7 linked regions of the Oryzias latipes genome follow. The protein of the gene in region 3 purifies or fractionates together with the protein of the main gene of each other region. This does not show direct contact. Links are inferred from orthologs where the notes say so. Each region holds a gene or a part of one and is shown on either strand. Other genes may lie near its edges. The genes, in order: xrcc1, supt16h, sox2, ilf2, myef2, hnrnpa3 and ssb.

Region 1 (4,440 bases), on a different chromosome or scaffold from region 3:
GGGGCACTAGAGAGGAGATCAAGACGGTGATCTTTAAATTACACGACAGAAAATACTTCCTATTTAATCATTGGCTAAATTAAGTAATGGTTTCTTTTTTTAAGAAGAATCTGAGCCAACAGATCTTGGCATTTCTAATAAAGACAAGTGAAATCCCGTTTGTTAGTTGGGTCGACACGCTTCTTTTCAAGGTTTTTTTGTTTCTGTCTGGAGAATTTATGGAAAATAGTGTCACTATTTATGTTTCAGATCAAAGAGCACATATTAAAGCCAAGTTGACTTTAAAATGCCTTATTTTATCAGTTGTCTTGAAAAAAGTAAAACGTTTTGTAACCATTTTGCACCTATATAGAGAGAAGGAGAGAGAGAGAGAGAACTCCCTGATAGAACTCCCATCAACAGATTTTAAAATAATTTTGTGGATCAATTCAGTTTTTATCATCTCTGTCTATTTAGGTATAAGTACTGTATAAGTACTACGAAAAACCTTTCAGTAAATCCAATAGTAATTATTAAAGACCCTATTTTAATCGAGTTCCCAGTGGGTTTTTTATTATGATTTTGACGTTTTCAGCCAAAAATCCCATCTTCCTCTTGAGGCTCAGACACTGCAAAGATGTTTAATAACTTGAGCAACTTTAGATCCCTGGATGGGTGAGTCAACCCCCCCATTCAGCCCCAATTAGACCACTGAAGTCTGCAATCCCCACCTCCTAATGGCGAGGACAATCTTAAAAAAAAGTCCTTGATGACTTACTTGAGTGGCTCAAAGTTAGTTACTTTTGAGACATCTGTGCTTTTAATTTCTAAAACTTCAAACGTAAAAGTACTTTAAAAAATACACATGTGGCCACACCTCACTTCTGATTTACACCCAGATAAAATCCTTCTTTTTTTAAGATAATGGCGACTAACAAGTCTGATGGTAAAATATCTCTAAAACCCACTTCATGCAATATAAATATACATGAGATGTCCCAAAAGATTCCATCTTTGTAGGTGAGCTTTCTTGGTCATTTTCTCCTCTAAAACCTCTGGCTCAATGGCTAATGACTGTGTGTGAAGCATAGCGGGGGTGCTCATTAATGCATACGGCGAGTCGCCAGCACGCGCATCAGGGGCTCAGACGCCGCACATTTACCTCCAGATGCTCAGCGACAGCAGAGTGCCCCGTGAAGCAACAGTTTGAGGGTGAGCGCGTCGATTTGTTTGGCACTTACCATCATCAAAGTAAGTGGTGCTTTTAATTACCCATAGCAGATGCAGGCTTTAAATAAAGGATACATCATCAAAGCTGTACACTCCACAGGCGGCACAATAGGGGTGCTGGGCAGGGGAATGGATTATTCTTACAACAAGAGAAATGGGGGGTGGGGGGGAGAACTGCAGCCATATTTCTCCACTGCTGTCAGAAAATGATGAGAAAGGCGAGCACAAGGGAGAAGGAAAGCCCAGGTTCCACTCAACTTATTTTAACTCGTTTTTGAGAATTTTAAAGGAACTGAGTCCAAAGCCCAAAGCGTTATTTATTTATAACCCTCCGCTCCCTCTTTGAAGGCCCTCTTGCATGGATCATGGGGAAAACTCCTCATCATTACACCGGCTGCCCCGGCCACAAGAGACTCCCACAATCACGTGACACGAGAACTGGTGCAAAGAACGTGATCTGAAGCCTAATTCAAATACAAACCTGAAAATGATTCCATGTTTTGTTTGTCAAATCATTCTGTCATCAATAGATTCAAAAAGAAATTCACACCAGAACATCCAAAGCCCATCGTTAGTAAAGATAGATAGATAAATCCATTAATTATACAACTACCGGTACTCTACCAATGAAATTATCATTGATGTTCCATAAAACCACAACAAACAAAAACATACAATACTGGAAAATAAAAACTTTCCTCTTTAGTATCAGATTATATTTTATTGATTAGGGGTGCAACCGATTACAAAACTCCCAGTTTGAAAGTTTTTCTTTTGTCAAGAGTATAGAGCAAAAGGATTTTGACTCACAAGTTCTCCATTTCTAAATCCCAGTTCTTAATGAGACAAGAAATTCTCGACTGTGCAGATTTTGAGAAAAGCTTGTAGAGCAAAGATAAGTTAAAACAACTTCAGGATAAAATGTCCAAAAGCAAGATTTTAAATCTTTACAAATATCAAATAGCTTGGAGTGTTGATCTGTCTTTAGTGTTACAGCTGATTTCCAAAGACATATTCTCCCCAAAGCCAGACAGAAAGTTCAAAACGTTAAGAGGCTGAGCAAATAAAGGATTTGGAATTTCATCCATCGCTTTATTTGGTTTGTGGGAGAGTTGACATGATTCCATGTGTTTAGCATTGATGTCTGCAGCAAAGCAGTTTCGGAAAATGATTGCAACCCCCCCCCACCCCCCACCCCCTCTACACTCTACAGCCAGCTGTCAGGATTGAAAGGCCTGCTGTGACCCAAAGCACATCACAGAAGGTTTTTGTCCGGACCTCAACAAACTGTGTCAGCTTGTGAATAAGGGGCATAATATATTTCTATTAAAGTCAACCTTGGAGAAACTGGGAGGAGCAAAGCGTGACAGAACAGCCTGATATTACAGCAAAGGCTTATATTGGAAAATACAGGTCCAGGCCAATGAATTCCTCTTCTTTAAAGAGATGAACCTTTATACCTACATTATTCAGTACACAACGATTTCTTCTTTTTTGAGAAGTGCTGACAGAAGACCTTGATGCTGCAAAAGCTCTCCCTGTAATGAGGCATAAAATTAGAGAGCTGCTGGATCTCAGTGGGCTGACTGTGATCACAGCGGGGCTCATCTGCTCAAGGTTACCACGTTCTCTGCAAAAAGTGGGAAGCCCTGCTGCGGGAGACTGTGTGATCCAGAGCCACCGACATGGCTTAAACACAAGTATTAATCAGATATGCATTTGCAGAATAGGCAAAACACATGTTCCAGGCTAAAGCCAAGCGCTCGCCGTGCTCCGGCGCCCTTTTAAAACTGACGCAATGTCCCATCCAGCTGTTCGTCTGGCTGGGTCCACAAACCGGGCCTCTATAAGAGCAGTTTCACTTGAAAGAACAGAACCATGTTCTCACCGCTTAAAGGAGATCTTCTGTTTCCTCTTGTGGCAATCCAACACCCACTCCTTCCGCACGATGATGCCCCCCGCCGATTTCACCTGGCTGTATTTGGGGGTGTTGGCGAAGGCGCAGCTGAGGATTAATGGGGCAACGGGACAGATGTGCACAAAGAAAACACGGTTACATCACTACCGACGAGCCCACAAGGTCGTTCCATCACTCTGGCAGCTTGAAGGAGGCCATCAGACGGAATTTATGTAAAAACTGACACAGATGTTTCGCAATCGCACAATCTGTTTCAGTGATAAAAAAGACAAATGAGGTGAAGGACATCTAAAAAAAATAATAAAAAAGCAACACTAGAAAAGGACTTCTGCATTTTAAAGATAAGATTTCCTGTTTTTTATGACTTGCTGGGGTCATCATGGTCACCCCGCTCTAACACTTGCAACTATTATTCAGAAATATTTAGAGGTCATTGAAATAAGTGAATAAATATCAGCCATAGAACTGGAGGAAGTAAAAAAAAAAGCTTCCTGTTTTTCATAAATAAAGGTGTATTTTGCTTATCTTCATCATATGTTCATATCTTGAAGTGCTGCAGATTATCCAGGAGTCTGTTCTTGGTTTATCTCTTTACCCTGTCCTTGTAAAACCACGTCTCTGCGCCGCCCCTTTCTCCTCAGTCAATTCATGAGTAATGCCTGTTTAATGTGGCAGTACTATAGTTGATGTAAAAATGCAGTTTAACTTAAACCTAAATAGTCAGATGAGCAAATAACACTTCATGGCTGCAGGAAAGCAGCAAACTAATAAACTGCATGAGGTGGATTCCTCATTAGGGAGCTAATGGCCCATTAAATGTAACGTTTGTTGTGTAAAATGAGGATTTTGTCTTGCTTTAGTGCTTATTTCGCTCACAGTGATAGTTCCAAACCCAAGTGTCTGTTGATGTTGATGAAAAACGTAACATTGAGCAAACCGATTTCCCTTTTTTAACTGCTCACATGAGATGTGTGGAGTCGGACGTCCAGTCTGGGCGGTACTTGGCTCCCATCTCCAGGGCTTTTTCTCTCAGCTCCCCTCTGAAGGGGTTTTGGAAGCCGCTTAGCACAAACACGACCCCCTCCATGATCTTCTTGAACGGGACCTGCTGCTCACTTTGGGGTTTGGTTTTTGGTTTGGGTTTAAGCTCCGGTTTAGACTGTACCTCCTTCTTCTTCTCAGTGGATCTCTGAGTGGACGACACTGCAGAACAAAACGACCACAGAAGAAAATGATGAGTATTGGTTTAACAGCATCAGTCTGAATGCAGGGACCTACCTTTAGTGGTGCTTGGGCTGGGCGTAGCGGCTGGG
Region 2 (4,965 bases), on a different chromosome or scaffold from region 3:
ACCAACAACTGCACAAAGCCCTAGAAGCTGAAAGAGAGCGAGGAGGACAAAAGTCCAGCTCGGCTTCATGAAGATTCTAACAGGTGCTAACCTTTCTGTTCTCATGAATCCCTTTTTAAATTTCATGCCAAGTTTGCTTTTAAGGGGAGATTTGTGCTCAAAGGTCTTTTTTTTGAAGAGGTAAATTTAAATTAAAAGAGGTCAGCTCTGACAACACTACTTACCATGAGGGAAAAACAGTTGTTTTCTTTGCAAACATCAATCGCGTTTGGCTGTGAAAGTAGTCCAACAGAGACTAAATGCTTTGAAAAAATAAAACTTCCCAATGAGACTTATTGATGCAGTTATTGGTCTGATTTATTGTACATATCATGGAAATGTTTTTAATCATGAAATAAAATATTTTATGTTGTAATATACATTTTGACCTCATGATTGCAGATCAAGAACCAATTTAGTTTGATTCATTGACTGTATGGGTCAGCATAGAAATGTAAACTTAGGCCAACTTGACCAATCGCTGCTTACCGATTGTCTGGTTCCAACATCACGACAGCCGTATATCAAAAAATTAGCAGCCGAATGAGCCTTAATTCATTGGAAACAGAAGCAAGTCATGTTCTATGGGTGATATCACACTCACTTGATCCAGTTCTCATTTACAGTCAATGGTTTGATTCTAAGCTTTAATGTTAATTTATTAACCTTTATTAAAAAAAAATTAACTTCAACAGCATTTAGATTTTCACCCTTGTCTATTTTTTGCAAGGCTTTTTTTAAAAAAAACTTTTTTTTTCATAATTGGTTGACAGGTGAAAATATTACAATAGACTGTTTAAATTGAAATTCTGTTAGAAATAAAATGTACTTGAGTAATAAAAATTAAGACTTCATGATCAAAGGATTGATTTGAACCACAAAATAATTTTTCCACAACTGCAAACTCTTTAAGATGAAACCCCATATAAATCGGTTATATAAGTTATAACCAAGATACCAACACCGCAAGGAGAAGAAAAAAAATCCAATATGCTACTATATGCTACAATTGTTTAAACTCTTAGATTAAACCCCTCACAACTTTTGTTTTATTTATTTTATTTTTTCATTTAATTGATTTCATGTAAGAGTTCAGAGTTTTGATGTGCTCTATGTGTTCCTTTACTGTTGTTTCAACATGACATGATAGTGTTTTTCTGAAGATGGAGACGTCTTGATTTTAACATTTTACAATGATTCAATAAAAAAAACTTGTTGAATTTCCCCCGCAAATCTTGGAGGCTGCCAAGTGGACGTGGTATCGCGAGATTTACGTCAGCAGAACCTTTCGAAGATGGTGGCGGGAAAGGTCCTTCGTGGCGGGAAAGATTGATAGTCAACACACGGCAGGGGGCGCTGTGGCGACACTGCGGTTTACAACAAAATACGTCATTATGAATAAAATAAATGTATTAAACGCGTTGAAGTAAAATAAAAATGGCAGTTTTATTTTGAATTCTGTTAGGCTTACTTTACACTTTTATTCAATGGTTACCATGGAGATTTAGTGGATAAGTATACTGATCTCAATGATGAATATGCACAGAGGGGGAGGGAAAAGGCTCGGACTGTAGAGAGGGAGGGGTGAGCGTCTAATTATAACTGATTGGTGTATGAAAACAGTGGTAGATGAACAGTTTGAATTTGAGTAATTTTGATCATTTTCTTAACCCGTCGCTGGTTCTTGCATGAGCGCGTAGCTAGAAGGTTGCGGTTCTTATAAAGCCGAGCGCATCTGCAGTCAGTGCCGTTCGGACCTCGGCAGGCGTGGAAGGAAAGTGCGTTGTTGTTAGCTCACCATCATCATCATCCTCATCCGGCCTGCTGGGGAGGCCAAGCCGGGAGCTGGAGTTCGCAGCAGAGCGCTCGCCATGGCGGTTAACCTGGACAAGGAAGCGTACTACCGCCGCATCAAAAGGCTATACAGCAACTGGAAGGTGAGCCGCGCTCGGCCCGGAGCGGGTCGGTGTGCTGCAGAACCCGGTTAGAGGTAATTTTTGAGCAGAAGACATGATGAAGCCGCTGTGGGAGCCCAGAGAGAGTTAGCCGCGGGTTCACACCGGACCCAGCGGAGCGTTGAGGGTGCGAACGCTGATGTTCTCCAGACCGTGCAGTTACGGGTCGGTGTTTGTTTTGCGAATCTTTTAGGACACATTGGTAAGATACCCGCAGGGATCCTCGGTCCCGCATGCGACTGCCTCATGTTAGCACTGCGGTCCTCTCATTCAGTCAGTGGGTTAGCTAGTCTGCTAACTTGTTAACTTCACCAACCAGCTAACGGAGTACGACGGCTTATGGCCGCTCTTCATCGAAATGGACACACACATTTCAATGAAATGGTTCCGATAAAGTTCTACCGATCACAGGGCTGAGTGAGTTGAAGCTAAAGTTCAGCTGCTGCCGGTTTGCACTTTGTCCCAGCGCTACATGCTAATCTAGGATGCTAACAATTAGCATCACAGCATCAGCATCCCGGCTCCATGTGAAGCGCGCGGCGCCAGCATGGGACTCGTTTCTGCGGCATGTGCGGGTTTGGAAACTCAATTCTTACAGATGAACTTTTATCCCAGACCAAAGTTTCAGCTTCATATATGCTGCCTTTTTTCACCTGAAAACTTTAGGTTATGGTTCGGGTAGAGTAACAGGTTACTAAGTTACTGATAGAAGCCCCTTGTGCTGTGAGGAGTTTAAGGTCAAACATCACAACCAAACCCCTAGATCTATTTGTTTCACAAACTCAGGATTAGATTGTCTTCCATTCATCATCAACCCCTGCTTCATCCTGATCAGGGTCTCTGTGGCCCCTTGCAAAGACAAGCACAGCACCCCCCCCCCCCCCCCCCCCCCACAATCAGTCCCAGAACCACAAGACCCAAACTCTGATTTAGGCCAGTCGTGTGTCTAAACTGTGGGAGGAAGCCACAAACTTGCATGAATGGCTTTCCTCTAATGTCTAATCATGCCTTAGAGTGTGTTCATTTCAATAAAGTTTTTTGTTGACCCAACCTTGTAAAGGAGCAGAACTCCAATGGAGGGCAGCTGAAAGTGTTTTATTTGCCTCATTAAAGACTGAGAGATTCCAAAAGCCATTGTTCATGATTAAAATGTTAAAGAATGCATAACACATTTCCAAGTTTGTGTTTTTAATTAACACAGTAGTACTTTTATGAATCATCCAGGGAACCTAAAGATGCATTTATTTCAGGGCAGAAAGTTCCGAGCTGAGGTTATAACGCCTCTTAGTCTAGTCAGATCCCTGAAAAAGGAGGAGTAGAAGGTGAATGCACACCAAACCTGAGTGGAGGGCTGGGTTATTTAATCAATCTCATCGATACATTTGAATTTGTTGTGTGTATATTGATAAATCTGGATTTTATTTTCACAGCTCTCTTGGACTTCTGTTGTTCAGAGTAAGGTCAGCCTGCCCATTTCTCGCTATGCGCAGACATGAAAATAGCAGATCTGTTTTTTCCCCAGTTATTTATTTATCCGACTATACGTTTTTCCGGAGCACAAGTCGCATCAGCAAAAAAAAAATGCATAGAAAAGAAGGGGGGAAACCCCCCCACATATAAATCGCTCCGGAATATGTTTGTAGAACAACTCTGCCAACCCCGGCGTAATACTGCATTCACACCAAACCCGATTCATGCGTCACATCTGTGTTTGCTGCCAAAGCAGATGCTCAATGCTTGTCCAAAAATGTGTTCATCGGCTGGAGGCGCTTTCACGTGTGGTAGAAGCTACTGTCAAGTTTTTAGCCTCATCGCTACATAGAAGCATTGACCGGATAACTCTTTCACAATGAAATGAAACGACAAGAGATATTTTGAAGAGTTCTACAAAAGCTTCAGTAAACACATCTCCATGGCTGGGTTCATAAGACCTTTCAGTCCTTTAAAAAAAAAAATGTCTAGCAATCTTTTTTTTCCACTGCGTGTGAATGATGGCGCTTTCAGCTGTACTTCCTCGTCTCTGTAACCCAGTTTGATGACTTGCTGTCCCGCATTAGTCGGAGGAAGGAAAAATGAAAAACAATAATAATGTCTAGATGCAAGTAAGAAAAATATCACAAAGCTCAGGAAGACGACGATCAGATTCTCCTCCATTTTTTGTTCTTAAAGACGCTGCTTCATTCATCTCTGTTGCTGTCAGTCACAAATACCGATGCATACACTTACAGTGCCTTCTAGCAGCAACAACCGCTGAAGAGCAACTGGTTGTTGGTGGGAAAATAACACATATGAGCCTGTTCATGTTAAAAAAAAATCACACAAGTCTCTCCTGAGTGCTAGTTCACTGTGACTTCTACTCTGAAAAAGACAGTTAAATGGAACTCGTTCAATTTTGTGACTTCAGACTTGGAGCAACAAATTGCATGATGCAAAAAATGTGTGAAAACTGTTGCTAACAAAGGTAGAACAACAGCGAATTAGTTTTTTACACCTGAAGCAGGTGAACTCTCAAAGGAGATGTTAAAGTGATAGTTTTTTTTAGATGTAGTTTGTCATTTTTGTAAAAAAGTATACTGAGAAAGGAGGAAAAAAAAAAAAAGACAGTTAACATTGGAAATCACATTTAGTGGGAAAAAAGTCTTTTTTTTTTTTTTTTTTTTTTTTTTGGCTTAGCCTGACCGTAATTCCAATGAATGTGTGTCTTTGTGTACATTCTAGAAAGGAGAGGATGAGTTTGGTAAAATTGATGCCATCGTAGTTTCTGTGGGGGTCGATGAGGAGATCGTGTACGCCAAATCCACCGCCATACAGGTGAGCTTCCAGGGTCTGAGGGGAGGCCAGAGACGGGCCGCCGTATTTTCAGCTGACCGGCATGCTTTTGGCCCTCAGACTTGGCTGTTTGGCTACGAGCTCACGGACACCATCATGGTGTTTTGTGACACCAAAATCATCTTCCTGGCCAGCAAGAAGA
Region 3 (3,733 bases):
GGGAATGAAAATTTTCAAATTAAAATATCACAGTAAATATACAGAAATTTTACAAATCAATTAGAAAATAATGAGCACAAGCGTCATACCGCTAACAGCTGAAAAGTGGGAGACGGAAATATAAATTAACAATCTAAAATTGATATTGTATGACAAAAAAAGAAGTGTCTTACATTTTTAATGAAATAAAAAATGTTTAGTAATATAGACCTTAAATGAAAAAAAAAAATACCTGCATCTTTTGTCCCTTTTTATTCCAATGTTTTAATTGGAAGCATAACTGATCACTTCCATTACTCTTGTTCTGCTATTTTTCACTTTTAATGTTCTCTGCAGAACCAGCTTTATATATATATATATATATAATAATTAAAAAAGGAAAATAAAAATGCAACCTCTTGCAGATTAACAAACAATTTCATCTGATTGTAATGTTTCTTTGATAAATACTGTACAAAAGGTGATTGCAATAATAAAACATTTGATTGCGACTCCCACTTTCTAGTCTTCCAAACTTCATCCAACAGTGAAGAGGGGATCTACCGTTCCTCTATGCTTCCTTAGGATAAAAGGAAAGAAAAAAAAGTCCCTTTTTTTCTTGAAGATTTCTATACAACTTTTTCTCACCCATTTTTTTTCTGTACAAAAATAGTCCAACATTAAGTAGTCCACAGTAGCTTTTATAAAAGTCTGCTTTTGCCCCCCTCCTGCGCTCTGTCCCTTACATGTGTGTTAACGGCAGCGTGCCGTTGATCGTCGTCCCGGGCACGGTGCTCTGGTAGTGGCCGGACATGTGTAGCCTGGTCTGGGCAGTCTGCTCGCTGACCTCCGCCCCGGGCAGGTACATGCTGATCATGTCCCTCAGATCACCGCTTTGGCAGCCCGGGGCGGCCCGGTGAGACGAGGAGGTGACGACGGGCGGGCTGGAGCTGCTGGACTCGGACTTCACCACCGAGGAGGGCCCCATGGAGCCCAGGGCGGTCATACCCGGCGTGGTTTGCTGGGAGTAGGACATGGAGTACGTCGGGGAGCCGTTCATGTAGCTCTGGGAGCTGGTCATGGAGTTGTACTGCAGGGCGCTCATGTCGTAGCGGTGCATGGGCTGCATCTGGCTCGGGTTGTGCGCGTTCAGACCTGCGTGCTGGTAGCTCAGCTGGTCCTGCATCATGCCATAGCCCCCGTTGGTCCAGCCGTTCATGTGCGCCGCGTAACTGTCCATCCGCTGGTTAACCCCACCGCCCAGGCCGGCCCCTACCCCGACACCGACCCCGGTCCCCATACCGTTTCCTCCAGGAGCCAGCAACCCGCCCGGTAAGGTGTATTTGTCCTTCTTCATGAGGGTCTTGGTTTTCCGCCGGGGCCGGTATTTGTAATCCGGGTGCTCCTTCATGTGCAGGGCCCTCAGCCTCTTAGCCTCGTCGATGAAAGGTCTCTTCTCGCTCTCTGACAGAAGTTTCCACTCTGCGCCCAGCCTCTTGCTTATCTCCGAGTTGTGCATTTTGGGGTTTTCTTGCGCCATCTTCCTCCTCTGGCCTCGGGACCACACCATGAAGGCGTTCATGGGTCTTTTGACTCTCTCCGGGCTGTTTTTCTGGTTGGTGCCGGTGCCGGACGTGTTTGTGTTCCCCGTGCCCCCCGTGTTGGTCTGGGGAGCAGGGGGCTTCAGTTCAGTCTCCATCATGTTATACATCAGGGAAAATTTTAACTTTTCGCTGGGAGCTCCCGAGCAGAAAAAAAAGACAAGAAAAAAAAGAAAAAAGAAAAAAAAGGAGCTTCTCTCCAGAAGCTGAGCGCAGACAGAGGAGCGCACGAGCGCTTTCAGTTACCTGCCGATTTTCTATGCAACTTTTCTCTGGACAAAAACAACGAGCATCAAGCCGCGCGTCTCCGCACACTCTCCCCCTCTCACTCCCACTCAGCGTGTCACACCGTGTGTGTGTGAGTGTGTGTGACAGAGAGCCTTCTCCCAACACGTCCCGGCAATGTTGTGTCCACAAAACTTCTCCCGCGGCTGCTCGCAAAAAGCATCAACAAACTGTACTTTTTCGCCTCAGTCCGCCTGAGCCTTGACAACTCCAGATAGTTTTTGAACAAGTTAATAGACAACCATTCATGTGAAGGGGCTGTCAGTGAATAAATGGCTTCGGCCTGACCAATCAGAGCGAGCCCCGCGCGCCAATGGGAGAGCGTGTGGTCGGAAAAGGGCGGAGTCTGGAGCGCAGCGAGGCACAGGCGTACACTCCGGCTCCTGCTGCCCATATCAGACAATACTAAGTACATATTTACTATTTCATCTTGCTTGTGGGAATTTCTATGTTTGATAGCGCTTTGTGAATACGTTACACCTTTTAGGTGGAAGTTTATACGACGCAGAGATGCAGCATTTTCAAAATCAGAAATTACTTTTTTGTAACTTTTAAAAGCTCAAAATGTAAAAAGTTAATAAGTACAAGTAAAAAAAAAAGACTACTTTTTGAATACGTTTTTAAAATTAAATTAGACATATTGAAGCAACATGACACTATTTCTTTTAAAAAAGAACAGATTTATTTTTATTCTAAATTGTTTTTTAGATGAAATATGAGGCATATCCAGACCAAATGAAAAAGCCACTTAATCAACCCTACTTAATGGCCCAATAACATAACACGCAAAGAAACTTTGTGAGTTAACTCACTGAAAGCTCTGAACAGCAGAGCTGTGGGGTGAATGTGTGCGTAAAAGAAGGTGGAGAGGGGGGGGGTGTCCACGGCTCGTTTTTTAGCCTTGAAAAGAGAAAAGGTAATCCAAGATGTTTCCCCCAGTCCTTTTGTTTAGGTGAAGTTGAATGCCAACACACACAGAAGGCAGACGGCCTCATCTTAGCACAAATAAGCGCGTTTTGTTTGGGATGTTGTCGCTACATCTGTCCGGACAAAGACCCCAACTCCACTTCCACTTCCACAGTGCCAGCGCTGCAGTTACGCATGGGTCTTTGTGGCGTGGTACGCGCACCGGAGACACGAGACAGGGACCGAATGAAAGGTGAGGAATATTTTAAGATGAAAGTGTGTTCGCACAAAAGATCTACACATTCATAGGAGTTCCAACAAGTGTGTCAGCCAATTAGTGGGAATCAAAACGCGGCCTTCACCTGCGCTTCAATTAGTCCTGGATCAAGAAACGGCCAGACTGGGATTATTGTGAGGTGAAGTTGGAATCAAACGCAGTGCGAAATCAAACCACATACTCGCGTGGCTCAAACAGACAGAAAACAAGTGAAGTTTTATGAGGCTGAAAGTGTTTGTGCCACTTGTTTAGAGTTCCATCCAGAAACGCCGCAAAGCGTGCTGCTGCGTGACACCAGTGCCGCCTAGTGGACAGAAGGAGAACAGCAAACAACCGCATTTTCAGGCCTTTTTTCAAGGAGAGCAGCAACAAATACATTATAGAGTTTTAAAGGTGCATTTTAATACACAACTTAGATACAGCCTTAAACTATTTTCTGACACCGGCTCGTTTAAAATCCGCCAAAGTTCACAGACGTTGGTGATGATCTTCATTTCAGACAATCCCAGAAGGCTAATTAAAAATAGATCAAGTATCTCCGCACACCTGAAATAATTTAATTTAGCTTTTCTAGATTAAATCATAATTGAAAGCGAATAGATCAGCCCTTATTATTTTGTTTTAGTTATTCGATATTAAATGAAGGAGAGGAGCCCCCGCGCGCTCATTATGCGGGCCCCGGCAA
Region 4 (3,578 bases), on a different chromosome or scaffold from region 3:
AGTAAACCTCCGCTTATTTCCTATCGTCACTTTTGTCCACACGCTATCCTGCTAGCTTACAGATGCTCAATACCCCAACCCTGTGCTGATTTGTGTTGTTCTTTTCTGTTAACTGTGTTTAACTGTGGGTGACTAAAACTGTTGTTTTTCTGCGTGTGCTCCTCCTATCAGTTCTGTCCATGCTGACCAATGAAACCGGATTTGAAATAAGCTCGGCTGATGCTACAGTTAAGATTCTCATCACCACCGTTCCACCCAACCTGCGCAAACTGGATCCAGAGTTACATCGTAAGAGAGCGCACACCCGCACAGCACTTTTATAGGAATGAGGCAGGCTTGTGAAATAATTGATCAATGTTGTTTGAAGAATGTGGTCTGAGCAATCATCTACTTCTTGTTGACTTTAAAGTTTGACAAATGATTCTTTGTTGATGAAAATCTATTGTTTTAATTCTTTAAATTTTTGATTTCTTCGGCTCTTATAGTGAACCAATTATTTAGCAGATTGGTGTTTCTGTCTGAGTGAAAAGTTCATAACTTATAGTGTTGATATTTTACAATAAATCGGTGTAGACTTACAGTTTGGACCTCTCCCAACATCTGTCAAATAAACATCTGTGGGTTCAGAAACTTGAGTGGAGCTGTCAATGTATCCATAATTCTGGTGGAGGTTTGATGTTCTGGAGGCTCTACACATTCACTTTACCACCACAAAAATGCTCGTTTTTTTTCTTTCTAGTGGACATCCGAGTGCTGCAGAGTGCTCTGGCTGCCATCCGCCACGCCCGCTGGTTTGAGGAGAACGCTTCTCAGTCGACGTGAGCGCCCCGCTCGTCTCTCTTTGTGTTTCTTGACGTGTGATGAGTATCTGTGAACTGTTGCACGTTGATGATCTTCAGGGTCAAAGTTCTGATTCGCCTCCTGAAAGATCTCCGACTGCGCTTCCCTGGATTTGAACCCCTCACCCCCTGGATTATTGACCTGCTGGTAAATCACACTGAAAAATACACAAGCACAAGAATCACGTGTTAAGAGGATGCAGGAACTGACATTTAGTTTTTCCATAACGCATTTTTTTTTTCAATTAAGCATAAACAATATTGCACATTTGTTGTGTGTGTGTACAAACATTTTGAAACCATTTCTTTAGTGAAACTGTAGTAAGCCCTGCTAATCTCAGTCTATGGTTCGTTGAAGGGCCACTCCGCAGTGATGAACAATCCTTCCAGGCAGCCTTTGTCCCTGAACGTGGCCTACAGGTTGGTGTTATCTCTTGACGGCTGTGATTTCTTTAAAATGAGCGACGACACAAGTCACCCTTTCCTTTTCTGCCTCCCTAAAGGCGCTGCCTGCAGATGCTGGCTGCCGGGCTTTTCCTGCCTGGCTCTGTGGGCATCACAGATCCTTGTGAAAGTGGGAACTTTAGAGTTCACACAGTGATGACTTTGGAGCAGCAGGTAAACCCGGTTGGCTTTACTGCTTCATTGTGAGCATGAAGAGGTGTCTTTGTTGTAGTTTTGTTCTGTTTTGCTATAGTTAATGTGGAAAAATGTGGAAAATACGCAGTCAAGATAAAAGGAAAGCCAACAAAATGTCTGTCGCGTGGATTGATCCAATATTTCTCTTTTTTTGTGTTTGCAGGACATGGTTTGTTTCACAGCTCAGACACTGGTCAGGGTGCTCTCCCATGGAGGATACAGGAAGATTCTTGGCCTTGACGGAGACGCCAGCTGTAAGATTTTTTTTTATCTTTGAGGGATTAATGAAAAAAGTCTTGTACTTTAATTCAAGGTGTCCCTAAATTAGTTACTTTCAAACATGACTCTGTCGCCAGTTCCAATGGATTTGGCACAGGGGCCACAAATGACGAGCTAAAGCTCCAGCTAAGCCTGATTGAATGTTCCTCCCCACTAGCTGCAGCATCTGACACCTTGGCTTCAAAACAAAGGACCATTAGCCTATCAGGGAACACCACCACAGTAACCCCACCTCCTCTTCTATCATCCTCATGTTATTTACAAAAGTCCAGGGCAGCAGATTGCTAAAAAATTGACCGTTGCAGCATTTTATGGAAGCGTTTTTTGTCTCATAATTAGAAATAAGTCAATACCCGAAATGCTTTTTCATTTTCACAATGAAGCTGCCTTTGTTGACTCGAAAGAAAAAATAAATCCGCCTATAGGCTTTTACTTTTTCTTTTTCAACACTGCTCATTCTGTAAGGAAGCAAACAAGGAAGTAAATAAATCATTAAAGTAAAAGTATTTTCAGTTTACTGGAATAAGTTCTGAAAAACAGATTTTGTTTTGAATAAAGCCAAGAATTTGAATAGAAAAGCATAATGAATATGACATTGCAAAGATGCCATGATCAATTATGTGGCATCATATGACTGTCTGCTAGCATGGCGGAGAATCATCACACGTCCACAAAAGAGCCCTAATTTTGTTGCACTCTCTAGGGCAGTGTTTTTCAACCAGTGTGCCGCGGCACACTAGTGTGCTGTTGGAGATGGTCAGGTGTGCCGTGGGAAACTGCCCTCATTAACTGATCCAAAATCATTTACCATCTCCAGGATATCAGCTCTGTGTTCATCCAAAAAGGTCCTGATAAAACACTGAGTAGTTAGGAATATGAAAGATCGTAAAATTACTTTTTCTTTGTGTTTATTTAATTCTATTAAAGACATTTTGATAAGAATGACGGTACCGCGATTTACCTGCTATAACAGTTTACGGAAAAGTCCCGCCCCTTTAACTGTCTCCGCCAATCATTCTTGAAGGCTTAATCACATGTCATCCGTCTGACCAATCAGAAGTGGTTAAAGTCTTCACTTCCTTGTCCCGATGTAGCTCATAAAGTCGCTCAGTTCTAACAAAAATACCAGCTAAAGCTCATCTTTAGCGGTGTAGCTTTCCACAGAATCCGGTGTCAGACCGTGGAAAAAGTGAACAAAACCATGAAGCTCAGAGACATCTCCCATGATGCATTGGGTTGACAATTGTGACAATTGACAATGTCTCAGTGTACAATGAATCTTCCTTTGACGGCTTGAAACCACAACGAACACACATAAAACAGTTTTTAAATCTTTTACTTAACTTTTATTACATCTTTTACAAAAAACAGCTGCAGGTTCCAGCTTTTTCTGCCACAATTATCACAAAAATACATGCAATATTGCAGAGGGGCTGTAGATCAATACAGACTATGAGTTTCTCCTTTTTTTTTAATGTTTGGATGCTGGTGTGCAGCGGAATTTTTGTCAAGGTCAAAGTTTGCCGTAGCTCAAAAAACTTAGAAAAACACTGATCTAGGTATTCTTCCACTGTTGGCCTATCAGTGAACTCCAGCAGTGTAACTCCGCCCCCTTGTCAATTATCAACATGAACCAATTAGTCCAGGTAGAGAAGTGCCATACAAATGTACTTTGTATTGCAAAAATCTTTGATCTGTCAAATTCAAATAGGTGGCAGCAATGACCTTTGAGTGACCTAGGAATGAACTTCACTGCTACAGTAAAACTCATAATTGTTGTTGCCTGTAGGGGAGCACCATACGTGTGGCTTGTCATATAAA
Region 5 (4,098 bases), on a different chromosome or scaffold from region 3:
TACTTTATGTTGTGTCTAGATCCTTTTAGATGGACAATGATTGATACCTTTATGAAAGGGAGATGTCTGGTTGATCTTGGAAAAGCAGCCTAATGAACTCCTCCTCTAAGAGAACATTTTTGGCTTTGCTGTTGTTATTTCAATTGACCTAAACGTTTGTTTGTTTGGCCATTTTCCAAATGGAAATGTGGGGTGTGTGATTTATCTGATTGATTGACCCTCATGTTTCAAAAATATTTGAAACAGAGTTTTTTTCAATATCAAAACAGTCTTGAAAGATCTTCTAGTGTTTTTTCATTATGTTTCACATTAAACTGCTTAAGTTTCTTGTATCTATTTAAATGTGAACCACCGTTTTTCCTTTCCCTTTTGACTAAATTGGTTAAAACTGAACAATGTACTCAGTAAAATGGTGGCATGTTTTTCTTGCCATTAAAAAAAGAAAGAAAAATAATAAGTTAATTTCCAATGCATAACTTGGTGTTTTAAAAAAATGTATTCTAGGTAAACATTTGTCTTAAATTATTTTAGAAAATAGCTTTTTATCTTTTAATTTGATTAAAATTAATACAATTAAAATTGAACAATTTAATTAAAAGCTAGCTGGCTTAAGCTAGTGATAATGGCCAAAATGCACCCAAGAAATAGAAGAAGCATGTTTAACACATTACAATTCAAATGTTGTCATGGTTTCTCATGTCTTAATGTTAAACATATTTTTATTTGTTCCTTGTGTGCCGCCTCAACTGCCATGTCCTGCGATCAGGGTTGTGGGTAAGACACAGCAATATTATTCTGATTTGAAAGCAAACTTTGGTTTTGTGGCTTTCATTTGCTCATTTTGTTCCTGTTGTCTCAATCAACAGTGTTGTGGAGTTCAAAGATGATGAGTTTGTGAAGAAAGCAGTCTTGACAATGAACAAGCATGACCTGAATGGAAGACCACTCAACATAAAAGAGGTGAGAATGAGATTCTAGCTAAATATTACAAAACCTTTTTTGAAGCTAATCTTTGCTATCTGCTGTTTGGCTTAATATATGAAATAATTACAACAAGGTTTAGCTTCTTCTTTTTGATATTTTACTTATTTTGTTTTAGCAGGTAATGCATGATGTCATATGCTTAACTCAGTTATGCAAATATTCAAAAATAAGCAGCGTGTAAACTTTAAAAGTTTTAGAAAATAGACACAGTGGTGGTTTTGCAGTTGCTTTTAAGTTGTTGAATGTTTTTTTTTTTTTTTCTTGTAGTTTATGTTATGATAATAATTGCAATGTTGTTAAAACATTTGGCAGAGACGTCTTATGTTTGATTAATAATAAAACAAAAATGAATTTAGAAGTTTAGACTTCATGGAATCTGAAGATATTGAAATATTTACTGGTGCACCAAAAATGCTTGTAACTAGCTATAAATGTGTATTGATTCTTCACTCTATCTTCTGCTTTCAAGTGTCTCTACAATATTGTCTAGTTGAAAGTGATGTTCAAAAATAGATCAGTATCCACAGTCTGTGGCTCAACTGCACAGGAGGAATTTTTAACTAATGTTAAGAATGAAACTACTAGCAGGTTTCCATCTTTCAAAAAGAGTTTACTCTGTGTGCTGTTGAATGTTGGACAGTTTCCCTTTTAAGGTATTTTATACTTGTCAGTCACATGCCTAAGGATTTCTTGGCAACAATTCTAATTGCAATAGACTACAGAGTATTTGGAAGATTTAATCTTAAGTTTGTTCCTCGATAATATTGAATGTGTTCAATTTTTACTTGTTTTGTTTCAGGACCCTGACGGGGAGCATGCTCGGCGTGCGTTACAGCGCATAGGAGGTGGACAGGGAGGTCGTGGACAGGATATGGGACCTGGAGGGATGAACCTCCCTCCTTCCATTGCAAACAACCCTAATATCCCACCTGAGGTTATCCATGGTCTGCAGGCTGGAAGACTTGGCAACACAGTGTTTGTTGCTAATGTGAGGACAAGCCTCTCTCTTTCTTTGTTGTTGTAGTTTGTTCTTTTTTCTTTTTTAAATTAAGCAATCAATCCTTTTTTCTCTCCAACAAATTTTACTTATTTTTGTTCATCTGCAGTTGGATTTCAAGGTGGGCTGGAAGAAGTTAAAGGAGGTGTTTGGCATGGCAGGTGTGGTGAAACGAGCAGATGTGAAGGAGGATAAAGATGGCAAGAGTCGTGGGATGGGAACCGTGACCTTTGATCAGCCACTAGAAGCTGTGCAGGCTATTTGTATCCTTAAAAAAACATATTTCTTCCAAAAGAAAACATTCCTTGATGTTAGTTTCCTTGACTCTGCTCTCAGCTATGTTTAATGGACAGATGCTCTTCGACAGGCAGATGCATGTTAAAATGGTTAGTTTTTTTGTTTTCTTTTTGAAATGCGTAAAGCAGTAAAAACAAGCCCAGATATCATTTGATCTCATTGTTCCAGGATGAAAAGTCTCTCCCTCCTGATGATTTCCCTCCCATTGAGAAAGCCCCGCAGTTACCACGTGGGTACACTTATTAAGCTGCATATACTTGTATGAACTTCCATGAACACATTATAGCAATGTTTTCAGAGTTTTGCCCCCCTGCTGGAATAATTGAAGTATTTTAATGTGTTTGTAGGACATTTTCTGTGTTGACGGTGATGTTAAATCTTTTCTTTTAAATCTTTGTTTTCTTATCTGTTGAATAGATGGGAAGATTTTGCTTTTTGCATTAAAGCATAATCAAAAATTCCTTTTATAGAAAAAGTTTGAGTTTGAAAGTTATTATGACTTTGGGTTAAAAAAAATCTATCACTGTGATCACTAAAAGTTATTCACTCTATCTATTATAGTTAAAAGTGGATGTGTCTGTCTTCTATCTTTGCCCTGCAGGGGGTCTGGGTGGTATTGGCATGGGTCTCGGGCCAGGAGGCCAGCCCATAAATGCAAACCGTCTGAGTGGAGGTGGAGGGATGGGGTCTATGGGACCTGGAGGTCATTCTTTTTTTGATTTACTGTATTAATGAAAAACCCCTCAAATCCATTACAACACAGTTTTAAAAACATGCCATGATGGCAAATGCATAAGCCGGGAGGTGTGAATAGTTGCCAGTGGGTCTGAACCTAACAGAAATGGGTTCAATATGGTCCTGAAACATAAACTTAAGTGTAATGTTTTTAGCTGGTTTTGCTTCATACATGAGACTTGGCTGAAATGCTGTCCTGTGAATTAAAATTCATTAAAAAGTAACCAACATATTGTGCTGCTTTCTCATTGGTGCTTTCTGTAATCCAGGTATGGATGCTTCTGGTTATGGTGGGATGAACAGACTCAGCGGAGGTGAGGTTTTCAGCTATCTTTTCATTTCCTGTAAGACACAAATGTTTAGGAGTCATAGTTCACCTTGACACTGGGTTTGACAGGAGGTGGAGGCGGCTTTGGAGGCATGGATAACATGAACAACATGGGTGGCTTTGGAGGCCGAGACATGGCACCATCTGGCAGAATGGGAGGTAAGAGATCCATATATTTGTAGCTCAAAAACATTATCACAGATATTAACAATTATCAACATTATTTATGTTTTCAGAGAATTTATTTATAATTAGACTTTTTTTTTTTTAAGATATGTACCGACAGGGAATGGGTGGGATGGATCGAGACTTTGGCCACAACGACATGCCGATGAATCGAGGATTTGCAGATTCCTTTGGAGGGATGAGTATGTTTTATTTGCACTTAAAATACACATACAGAGGTTTACACATCTCTGTGTATTTGCTTTTCAGAAATAAAAATTACTTGTTGCTTTATGTGCTGTTCTGCTCTTTATTGTTGGTTTAGATGCTGTAAAACTGTTGTAAAATTCCATAGTATCTGTAGTAACCTGCTTTCTCTGCTTTAGGTGGAGGTTTCAGTGGCGGCATGGGCGGTGGTGGCATGGGCCACATGGGAGCTGGACTAGGTACTGGACACATGTCACAAATGTTATTTAGATGTGTGATATATCGAAATATCAAAAGGAGTCCTAAGTGCTCCGGAAGCAGTCTTGAATAGGATAATTGTAGATTCACAAAAGAAATTCTAACATTTTTTGTTCTTTGCTGCATT
Region 6 (4,237 bases), on a different chromosome or scaffold from region 3:
TGAGTTACACCAAACTGATTTGTGATCATTTTTCCCTAAAAATGTGTCCCCAGCAGCGCATCAAAATGGTGGAAGCTCCACCTATAAGAATACACTGGTTTAATTGTTATCAATAGGTCCAGGAGGAAACTATGGCGGGGGGCCGGGCTACAGAGGAGGTGGAGGCGGCGGCTATGGGGGAGGTGGTCCAGGATATGGCAACCAGGGTGGAGGATTTGGTGGCAACTGTGACGGAGGTTATGGAGGCAATAGTGGAGGTAAATATGCTCTTATTTCCAAGTCATGAACATATGAAACTTGATATGTTTTGTTTGTTTATAATAAATGTTTGCATTGGATTTTTAGGTTATGGAGGTGGTGGAAATTACAATGACTTTGGAAATTATGGGGGGCAGCAGTCGAACTATGGGCCCATGAAAGGAGGTAACTTTGGTGGCAGGAACTCTGGTGGACCCTATAGTGGTGAGAAGCTCCAATATTTTTGGTATTGTCTTCAATGACAACAACTGACACAATTTCCTGAGATGCAAATAAAATAGGACTTTTTATAATAAGGATCCACACTTCACTTTAAAAAGTGCTTCAGTTTAACTGTGTGCTGCAACAAATAAAGCATGATTTAAAGTAGCATAAACTAACATTGGGGAGCAGGATAATTACACTGAGCTGGTTCAATCCTCTGACTAATGATAGATTTTTTGAGTTAATAACATATGTGGCTCCTTAAAATACATATTTGCCTAGTCTGCGGTTACATGTGCAAAATGTCTTTGATCGGATCAAAGATCAGGTTAGAATTGAACTGTGTACATAGTCCCAGAAAAACTTTATCCGATTATCACACTGTTTACATACACCATACTTTTGATCCTCTAAAATACCAGAACGCAGTAGAAGAAGAAATAGCGAGTTCTGTTGTAAACAAACAAAGCTACAGCATAGAGCGAGATGATCTTCAAAGTGTGCTTTTGTTATTGTTATGATTACTATTAAGTGCTTTCTAAATTCATGTGACCAGTGCTGTATTCTTGGCTGCACGAACCCGGAAGAAGAGTTAGGATTAATCTATTATCTGCCTACAGCATTTGGCCGTGCATGAACTTAAAATCCATGCGGGCAATGCCGCAATGTGTATATGTGGCAATGACATCAGCCTTTACTTTGTCTGGACATGATTGGAAAAACAAATCCATGCGATTATTTGCTCGTTTCTCAGGACTGCTCGGAGCGGCATTTCTGCTTTAAAAAGCTGCTTCCGCCAGCTGACACACCTTCTGAAAGCCGCTCCTCTGCTCGGAGACACGTATCTCCTGAGTCCAGCAGCTCGCTCATGCAGAGCAGCCGGACGGACTACAAAGCTTTCTCCGGAGCGCACACCGTAACAAAGCACCCTCCCCTACCCGCACAAACCTACGAGTCCGGCTGCTCTGCGTAGAGACATGGTTTGCTCCCGCGGAGCAGCCGGCCGGTCCTGTTAGCGCTCCAAAGCCTCTGGAGCGCCACACCATCTACGCATGACAGAAAAGCCAGCAGTAGTGACCCACAATCGGAATAAATTGTTTACATGCACCACGATTGAATCAACAATCGGCACAACCCTCCTATCTCGATCGGAAGGAAATATTGATCCGAATGAGGCTGATCGGTGCAGAGTATTCCGAACGGCGTGTTTACATGACACATTCTTATTCTGATCAGGCATTTATTCCGATTACTTTTGTCCATGTAACTGCAGCTACTGACAGTTTTATTTCTATGTACCCCTTTGATATAATTTGTCTCAGCAGTGTAGTTTCCCCTGAGGGAATAATAAAGATATTTTTCACTCCAAATTGCAGGTGGTTATGGCTCTGGGAGTGGCGGTGGCGGCGGCGGCGGTGGTTATGGCTCACGGCGGTATTAATTCTTGGTTGTTTTGGTAAGTAGCGTTCAGTCTGGCAGCAGCCTCGAAGCACAGTTCAGAGTGAGCCCATGAAAGTGCAGATTAACTATTTGTCTTATCCTGTATCCATTCAACAGGCTTCAGTTCTTAGCAGGAGAGGCGAGGAGGTGAGCAAAGGAGTTGTCAGGAAAGCTGCAGGTTACTTTGAGGCAGTCATCTGAAAGCAGTAGAGGAACACAGAAGTCAGACATTACTGCAGCTTATCCAAGAAGTGTATGGAAGGAGGACTGTATGAACAAGACATGAGTGCAGACGATGTCCTTTCCTATTTCTCCTAGATGTGAACCTAATGAGGAAGTTTTCCTTTCTGTGTCTGAATTGTGTGTATTGTGCCTATTGGATCAGGGGTAAATTTTCTTTCTTTTCTTTCTTTTTTTAAGTCCTACATATTTTTGTTTAAATTTTTTATATTGGTTAGTTTTATCATAATGACCAGTTAAACATACATTTTTGATCTTAGCAACTGTCAGATAGCATAGTTATAAAAGGCCCTTCAAAAGCCAGAAGTAGTTGTTTCTTCCCTCCTAATTTATTATTTCCGAATTGCAAGTGTCAAGTGTGTATTGATTTGTATGTAAAAGCACAGTGTGTAACTTTTTCATAGTGTCAGTGTCAACAGAAATAAACAGCTTAGATTAGAACTAAGGGAATCCCGCACTTCTCATTTCTTCCATTGAAACAGATTCCAGATTGTTCCCGTATTTTTGGTTAGTGAAAGAAACGACTGAATAAAGTTGTTTAGTAAAGTAACACAAGATTCAGTGCATCATTGGTTCGGAAAAAAAGCATGCATGCTCATTGTGACTGTGGTTAGCATATCAGCCTTTTCTGACTTGTCCCAAATTTGGGATTGTTATGAAAAACATGATGGTGTCTGTTCATATGTGCAATATTCTGTGCTTTCACGGATACCGTCGCCATTTTAAAAGGGAGGTTTGAATAGTTCCAGGGAAGGGCCCCGAGTGCAGCTTTGCCAGTGTTGAGAAGGTAGGAGTATGAGAACCACAAGCTCCTGCAGTTTGGCCCTCAGCGTCGCTAGTGTGGAGGATGACAATCAGACAGGACGACTTCAGCCCCAGCACAGTGGACCAGTCAGCATTTTGAGAGAGAAGGGAGAAGGCAGCATCGAGCGCAACGGCCATGGAAGGAAGTTTGCAGTGTCATGCCTGGTAGTGAGCATCTGTCTTTTTCCAAGGCTAGCTAAACTCCAGCAGCTGGTTCTCGCCAAGAAAGACTAGGTCCTGGACTCACTGAAGATCCTGTTTAGTGAGATACAGCAGTTTAACCTGCAAATACTAGATGTCAGACATTGAACAAGAAAAGGGAGCCAATATTTCACAAAAGCTGACTTGAGAAGATGGATCAGGTAAGAGTAACCACTTTGCTTGATTTACAGATGTGGATTTGGGCATTCTCTTCTTGCCGAAAATCTGTAAAGACCTGATAACTTGGAAAGTTCTGGATGGGTAAGACTTTTTTTTTTTTTTTTTGTAAATATTTTTCAAGGTTGAATGTTGATTATGTACTGTGTGGTAAGGCGTACAGGGAAATAGACTTAAGGTGAGAATGGGAGGGTTCTTAAGTCGTCATTCAGGTTCTTTGAATGACCAAATTTTCAATTTCAATTTTCAAAGGTGATTTAGAAACATTCTGTACAAAGGTAACTGACCAAGAAGATATGAATCTAAAAACCTGGACATAAATATATATTTAGCTGACACTAAACATGCAGGTCTGAGAAGATGAGACTGTCTTCAGCCATGGAGACACCGGGCGTGTGACGTGTGTTCAAAAGTGCGCCCATGGTGTTCACACTGGATAAGCAGGGAGGGGCTTCTTCTTTTCCTACTGTTTACTAACTCATGTCTGCCACGGTGGGTAGAGTCTTCATGCGAAATGTCAAAGCGCCGCAAATCTCGCCAATCTTGCTCCAGGATTTTTCTTTCACAGCTCTATTCCGATGCATGAAAGACTTGGTGTTATAGAATTCCAGCCAGTCACAGACCGCACTTGATAATTTTTTCTCCATGATCAATTTTCAAACAATTGGCCATTCAATTAATTAAAAGACGCCATCCATGCCTCACTACCAAATCAGAGTCCCTGATTGGACACAGTTCATCCTGGTTTAACTTTCAAACACATTCAAGGACTGTGCATTTTGTGCGCTGAGTTGGAAAGCGATCGTAGAAATTTGCGTATCTACGTGTGAATGCAAAAGTTTTGAACGCAGAAGAAGTCCATAACGCTCATTTATACAGACTTTTCATTGAAAGTGGCCACTTGAACGTGCAT
Region 7 (3,709 bases), on a different chromosome or scaffold from region 3:
TGGAAAAGCTTTAATATTAATTCATTCATTTGAGAAGAATATCACAGGAACTTTAGAATGTTGTATACTATAGTAAAAATGTTTTTTTCTTTTTTTTTAATAAAATCTAATGAATGAGCTTTAATATTATTGGAATAAAACAAGTTCCCCCCCCCCCCCCCCCCCCATGGGGATAAGATGGAGCAGTAAAAGAATTTAAATCTACGTAATATAGTGAGAGCATCTTTGATCAAACATTTTGAATCCACTGGCATCTTAATTTTTTGCTTTCTACAGAACAATTATGGCTGAAAACCAAGAAGAAATGTCTCCAGTTGAGATGAAAGTGGCGAGACAATTGGAGGTAATTGAGATTTCAAATGTACTCTCAGGAAGTGTATGCATTTCTATATTTAAATCAGTTTTCTGTTCTTACCAAGTATTATTTTGGAGATCACAACCTTCCGAGAGATCGGTTCCTGAAGGAGCAGTTGCAGCTGGATGATGGCTGGGTTACCCTGGAGACCATGCTGAAATTCAACAGGTGGTTTTATTTTTTTTAATAGCATCCAACTCCAAGTAAACATTTCCTTTTTTACGTTTTTTTGGTCCTTTACCAACTCTGTCCTAAAATCTGTGTAAACGGAAATAAAGGAACTTTACATTGTTGGGCTCTTTGGCGCCCTCTTCAGTCAGAACTGTGATTGCATCCATTTCTAGGATTTTTTTTTTTTTCTAGATGATTGTTTTTGAACATATCACAGTTCATGTTATCTGACCAGACGATTGCATTTACACAATCAGGTTACATTCCGTTTAAATCGTATAATCTGAGAGCAGGCTGGCTCATCATTCGATCCCAGCCTTAACAACTGATGTGCATGACCTTTGTCTTTTTAGTTTATAGGTTAAAAGGTCAGCTCACAGATGCAGATCTGCAGGGAAGGAGGCAGCAGTCCTTCACCTTGAACCTGTAAAGTTCTGCTGCCTTTACTGCTGCTCCTCAGGACTGTGGAGAACTAGAAGCAAAAGAACTATTTCTCATCACTTGCCTCATTCAGCAGAATAGACTTGGAGACAGAGCAATTTCTAGGATGGTTAACATTGAAAACAGTTGTGTTGCATGTAAATGAATAACTCCAGTTCAGATGTTTATGCTGCTTTTCGGATGGCATTTTTCTGTTTTAACCCATTTTATTAAAGAGGTTAAATGTTTTATCTACAACATTTGATTTCATTGGATGGTTTTTTTTTTCTTTACATTTTATTGTGGAAGAAGATTAAAGGGCATTTAGTGTTGCTTCAGCAAAAGACATAACTCCAAGTGTCACCCAGATCATCTAAACACAGCTGAAATGCACCGATTCCACAAACAAAGGGAATGTTGATGGATTGACTCACAGAAGACTCACATTAGCTGTATGAAGTTTATATTTGCTGTGTTTACTTTTACCAACTCATGTATTCTCTGAAACAATTCAGCTGTAAAAAGAAAAGATTTTGAGTGTTTTTTTTCCTTTTCTTTATAGAAATCCCATAGAGTCATGTTGTTTTCTTTTCTTCGTCAATGGTTTTGTTGAAACTGGTGTGTTTCTGTTTTTTAGACTGAAGTCTTTGACCACAGAGAACAGCGTCATCATCTCCGCTCTGCAGAAATCAAAGACCGGCCTCTTGGAAATTAGCGAAGACAAGACTAAAGTCAGGAGATCACCGGACAAACCTTTACCAGAAGTGAACGATGAATACAAAGACGCAGTAAAACACAGATCTGTGTACATTGTGAGTTCTTAAACTGTATTGACATTCCTCCTTCTAGATAAACCCAGTGTGCATCTTTAGAAATGTATTTAAATCCAGACTACAAAAGGTCTTTATATTATGAACAGAAATAAGACAACCATTGAGAAATCATAGCAGTGATGTAAGAAATTATGGGATCGTGATACAGTTAAAGTCATTACCAACCAGGCTGTATATTTACTCTACATGTTCACAGCTTTTGTATTTGTAGTCACACTTTTTGAAACTTATTTCTAAATCTTTTTTTGTCCCCCTTTATAGAAAGGTTTTCCTCTTGAAACAACTCTGGATGAGATCCAGGAGTGGCTGAATGACAAAGGAGACGTGGAAAACGTTCAAATGAGGAGAACCCTGCAGAGGAAGTTCAAGGTAAATCTGCTGTGAATCACTCATCGTTACCTTTTAAATAATTATATCAAATTAGTATCAAATGCGAGGTTACTTATGAGTTCTCTGTCATTCCAGGGGTCTGTGTTCGTATGCTTTGGCAGTGAAGAATCGGCTAAACAGTTTTTGGAGCGATCAGACATCAAATCATTCAAAGACAATGACATGCTTGTGCTGTCGAGGTAGGTTTGTTGCCTTTCAGTGTTTAAGAACAATCTGTCAATAAAATCTGCCATTTTATCTTTTGCAAAAGGGGAAACTTTTAAAAATCCAAAGTTAAACTATAAATCAAGCCACACAGCCTCTACTTTTTACTTTTGTGAAAGGAGTGATGCAGAAATCAAAGAACACCGTTGAGTTGATTTAAACCAGGTTAGAAAACGATTAAGTTTGAAGATTCTTTAGTGGATCCGTCCCTCACCAATCATTGATAAAAGCTGGTTTTCACCACCTTGTCCAATACATTTAGGGTTTGTATTTTTTTTAATGTGCAATCAGATTTATGTGAGTTAGGTGATCATATAGTCGGATAATACACTGAAAATCCTGTTACAAAGTGGTGTGGGATGCATAAGCCATGTGTGTTCAAACCTCATAAAGTTTGACTTTTTAGCAGAATTCTTCCATGACTATTATACAGGCACAGCGCTCTGTTGCCAAACACAAACAGCCATTTGACACTACCGCTCATAAAAATGAAAAAAAAAAAACTAAATTCAAGTAGAAAGCAGCCGACATCAGTCCAATATGAGAGTAGATCTTTACAGTAAAGAATTGGAGGATTTAACAGTTTTGTGATTTAGCTGGAAATCCATTCAATCCCTCACTCATGTTCGACTTAGTTCTTTGGTGATGGTTGTTACATTTGTGGCTTTTCCAAATATTGAAACTATTTTAACATGTTTCTTGCAGGGAAGCCTACCACGAAATGAAGGCAAAAGAGAAAAAACAGTTCAAAGTGGAGACCAAAGCTAAAGCCAGACAGTAGGAACGCCTGCTTTATATACTTATTGGTAGCTTTTATTTTGAAAACTGAATCTCATTTAATACTTTTTTTTTTCTTTAGGGAAAGGGAGCAACAACAAAAAAATGCTGAAGAAACAGAAATGGTAAGCTGCCCCGAGTTTATACAAATACTTGACATATGTGTGAATAATGCACATTATTTAAATGCATAGTTTTTTTCCATTTCTGCACCAAAAATGCTTGGCTGAAATTACTACGTTTTTTTCGGTAAAACTGTCGTTTTCTAGAACAAAGTTTCTGCAGAGCGACAATAGTTTATTAGAAATTCATCGCAGTTGTTGGTGAGAAGTAAGCCCACGCTAACATGTAAGCCTCCCACCACAGCCCCCCACAACCCCAACCGAACATTAGCAGTGAAACAAAAATGCAGAGCAATATCTGAGCTATCCAGCGGAACAGTTTGGATCCAGATTCCAGCTCAGACGAGGAAAACAAAGACATTCATGGATCCATTTGTCTGCAAGTGGATGCATCAGAATGGAGCAGAGCAGGAAGCTTGTGGCCCTCTAATTGTAGT

The links.
Region 1: the proteins of sox2 (region 3) and xrcc1 purify together in Homo sapiens (affinity purification with mass spectrometry; 3 studies listed by BioGRID and IntAct, with this or other methods). This does not show direct contact. The link is inferred for Oryzias latipes from reciprocal best matches to the Homo sapiens genes SOX2 and XRCC1.
Region 2: the proteins of sox2 (region 3) and supt16h purify together in Homo sapiens (affinity purification with mass spectrometry; 3 studies listed by BioGRID and IntAct, with this or other methods). This does not show direct contact. The link is inferred for Oryzias latipes from reciprocal best matches to the Homo sapiens genes SOX2 and SUPT16H.
Region 4: the proteins of sox2 (region 3) and ilf2 purify together in Homo sapiens (affinity purification with mass spectrometry; 3 studies listed by BioGRID and IntAct, with this or other methods). This does not show direct contact. The link is inferred for Oryzias latipes from reciprocal best matches to the Homo sapiens genes SOX2 and ILF2.
Region 5: the proteins of sox2 (region 3) and myef2 purify together in Homo sapiens (affinity purification with mass spectrometry; 3 studies listed by BioGRID and IntAct, with this or other methods). This does not show direct contact. The link is inferred for Oryzias latipes from reciprocal best matches to the Homo sapiens genes SOX2 and MYEF2.
Region 6: the proteins of sox2 (region 3) and hnrnpa3 purify together in Homo sapiens (affinity purification with mass spectrometry; 3 studies listed by BioGRID and IntAct, with this or other methods). This does not show direct contact. The link is inferred for Oryzias latipes from reciprocal best matches to the Homo sapiens genes SOX2 and HNRNPA3.
Region 7: the proteins of sox2 (region 3) and ssb purify together in Homo sapiens (affinity purification with mass spectrometry; 3 studies listed by BioGRID and IntAct, with this or other methods). This does not show direct contact. The link is inferred for Oryzias latipes from reciprocal best matches to the Homo sapiens genes SOX2 and SSB.

The regions. Positions count from the first base shown.
Region 1 is NC_019874.2:25,082,732-25,087,171, reverse strand, and holds part of xrcc1 (DNA repair protein XRCC1), read right to left. Parts: coding exon 4,406-4,440; intron 4,331-4,405; coding exon 4,090-4,330; intron 3,215-4,089; coding exon 3,098-3,214; intron 1-3,097. UniProt on the Homo sapiens protein: Scaffold protein involved in DNA single-strand break repair by mediating the assembly of DNA break repair protein complexes. Negatively regulates ADP-ribosyltransferase activity of PARP1 during base-excision repair in order to prevent excessive PARP1 activity.
Region 2 is NC_019876.2:21,326,064-21,331,028, reverse strand, and holds the start of supt16h (FACT complex subunit SPT16), read left to right. Parts: upstream 1-1,616; 5' UTR 1,617-1,910; coding exon 1,911-1,976; intron 1,977-4,712; coding exon 4,713-4,805; intron 4,806-4,883; coding exon 4,884-4,965. UniProt on the Homo sapiens protein: Component of the FACT complex, a general chromatin factor that acts to reorganize nucleosomes. The FACT complex is involved in multiple processes that require DNA as a template such as mRNA elongation, DNA replication and DNA repair.
Region 3 is NC_019862.2:18,600,810-18,604,542, forward strand, and holds sox2 (transcription factor SOX-2), read right to left. Parts: upstream 1,691-3,733; coding exon 722-1,690; downstream 1-721. UniProt on the Homo sapiens protein: Transcription factor that forms a trimeric complex with OCT4 on DNA and controls the expression of a number of genes involved in embryonic development such as YES1, FGF4, UTF1 and ZFP206. Binds to the proximal enhancer region of NANOG.
Region 4 is NC_019869.2:21,693,957-21,697,534, reverse strand, and holds part of ilf2 (interleukin enhancer-binding factor 2), read left to right. Parts: intron 1-171; coding exon 172-288; intron 289-739; coding exon 740-818; intron 819-899; coding exon 900-987; intron 988-1,197; coding exon 1,198-1,259; intron 1,260-1,342; coding exon 1,343-1,457; intron 1,458-1,641; coding exon 1,642-1,732; intron 1,733-3,578. UniProt on the Homo sapiens protein: Chromatin-interacting protein that forms a stable heterodimer with interleukin enhancer-binding factor 3/ILF3 and plays a role in several biological processes including transcription, innate immunity or cell growth.
Region 5 is NC_019861.2:13,063,095-13,067,192, forward strand, and holds part of myef2 (myelin expression factor 2), read left to right. Parts: intron 1-766; coding exon 767-774; intron 775-866; coding exon 867-960; intron 961-1,783; coding exon 1,784-1,972; intron 1,973-2,090; coding exon 2,091-2,244; intron 2,245-2,317; coding exon 2,318-2,367; intron 2,368-2,446; coding exon 2,447-2,507; intron 2,508-2,879; coding exon 2,880-2,981; intron 2,982-3,282; coding exon 3,283-3,327; intron 3,328-3,410; coding exon 3,411-3,500; intron 3,501-3,613; coding exon 3,614-3,709; intron 3,710-3,892; coding exon 3,893-3,952; intron 3,953-4,098. UniProt on the Homo sapiens protein: Transcriptional repressor of the myelin basic protein gene (MBP). Binds to the proximal MB1 element 5'-TTGTCC-3' of the MBP promoter. Its binding to MB1 and function are inhibited by PURA.
Region 6 is NC_019879.2:22,672,442-22,676,678, forward strand, and holds part of hnrnpa3 (heterogeneous nuclear ribonucleoprotein A3), read left to right. Parts: intron 1-116; coding exon 117-257; intron 258-345; coding exon 346-462; intron 463-1,838; coding exon 1,839-1,903; 3' UTR 1,904-1,918; intron 1,919-2,019; exon of another isoform or gene 2,020-3,338; 3' UTR 3,339-4,237. UniProt on the Homo sapiens protein: Plays a role in cytoplasmic trafficking of RNA. Binds to the cis-acting response element, A2RE. May be involved in pre-mRNA splicing.
Region 7 is NC_019879.2:21,749,548-21,753,256, forward strand, and holds part of ssb (lupus La protein), read left to right. Parts: intron 1-276; 5' UTR 277-283; coding exon 284-343; intron 344-419; coding exon 420-523; intron 524-1,583; coding exon 1,584-1,758; intron 1,759-2,040; coding exon 2,041-2,148; intron 2,149-2,244; coding exon 2,245-2,348; intron 2,349-3,078; coding exon 3,079-3,150; intron 3,151-3,232; coding exon 3,233-3,275; intron 3,276-3,709. UniProt on the Homo sapiens protein: Binds to the 3' poly(U) terminus of nascent RNA polymerase III transcripts, protecting them from exonuclease digestion and facilitating their folding and maturation.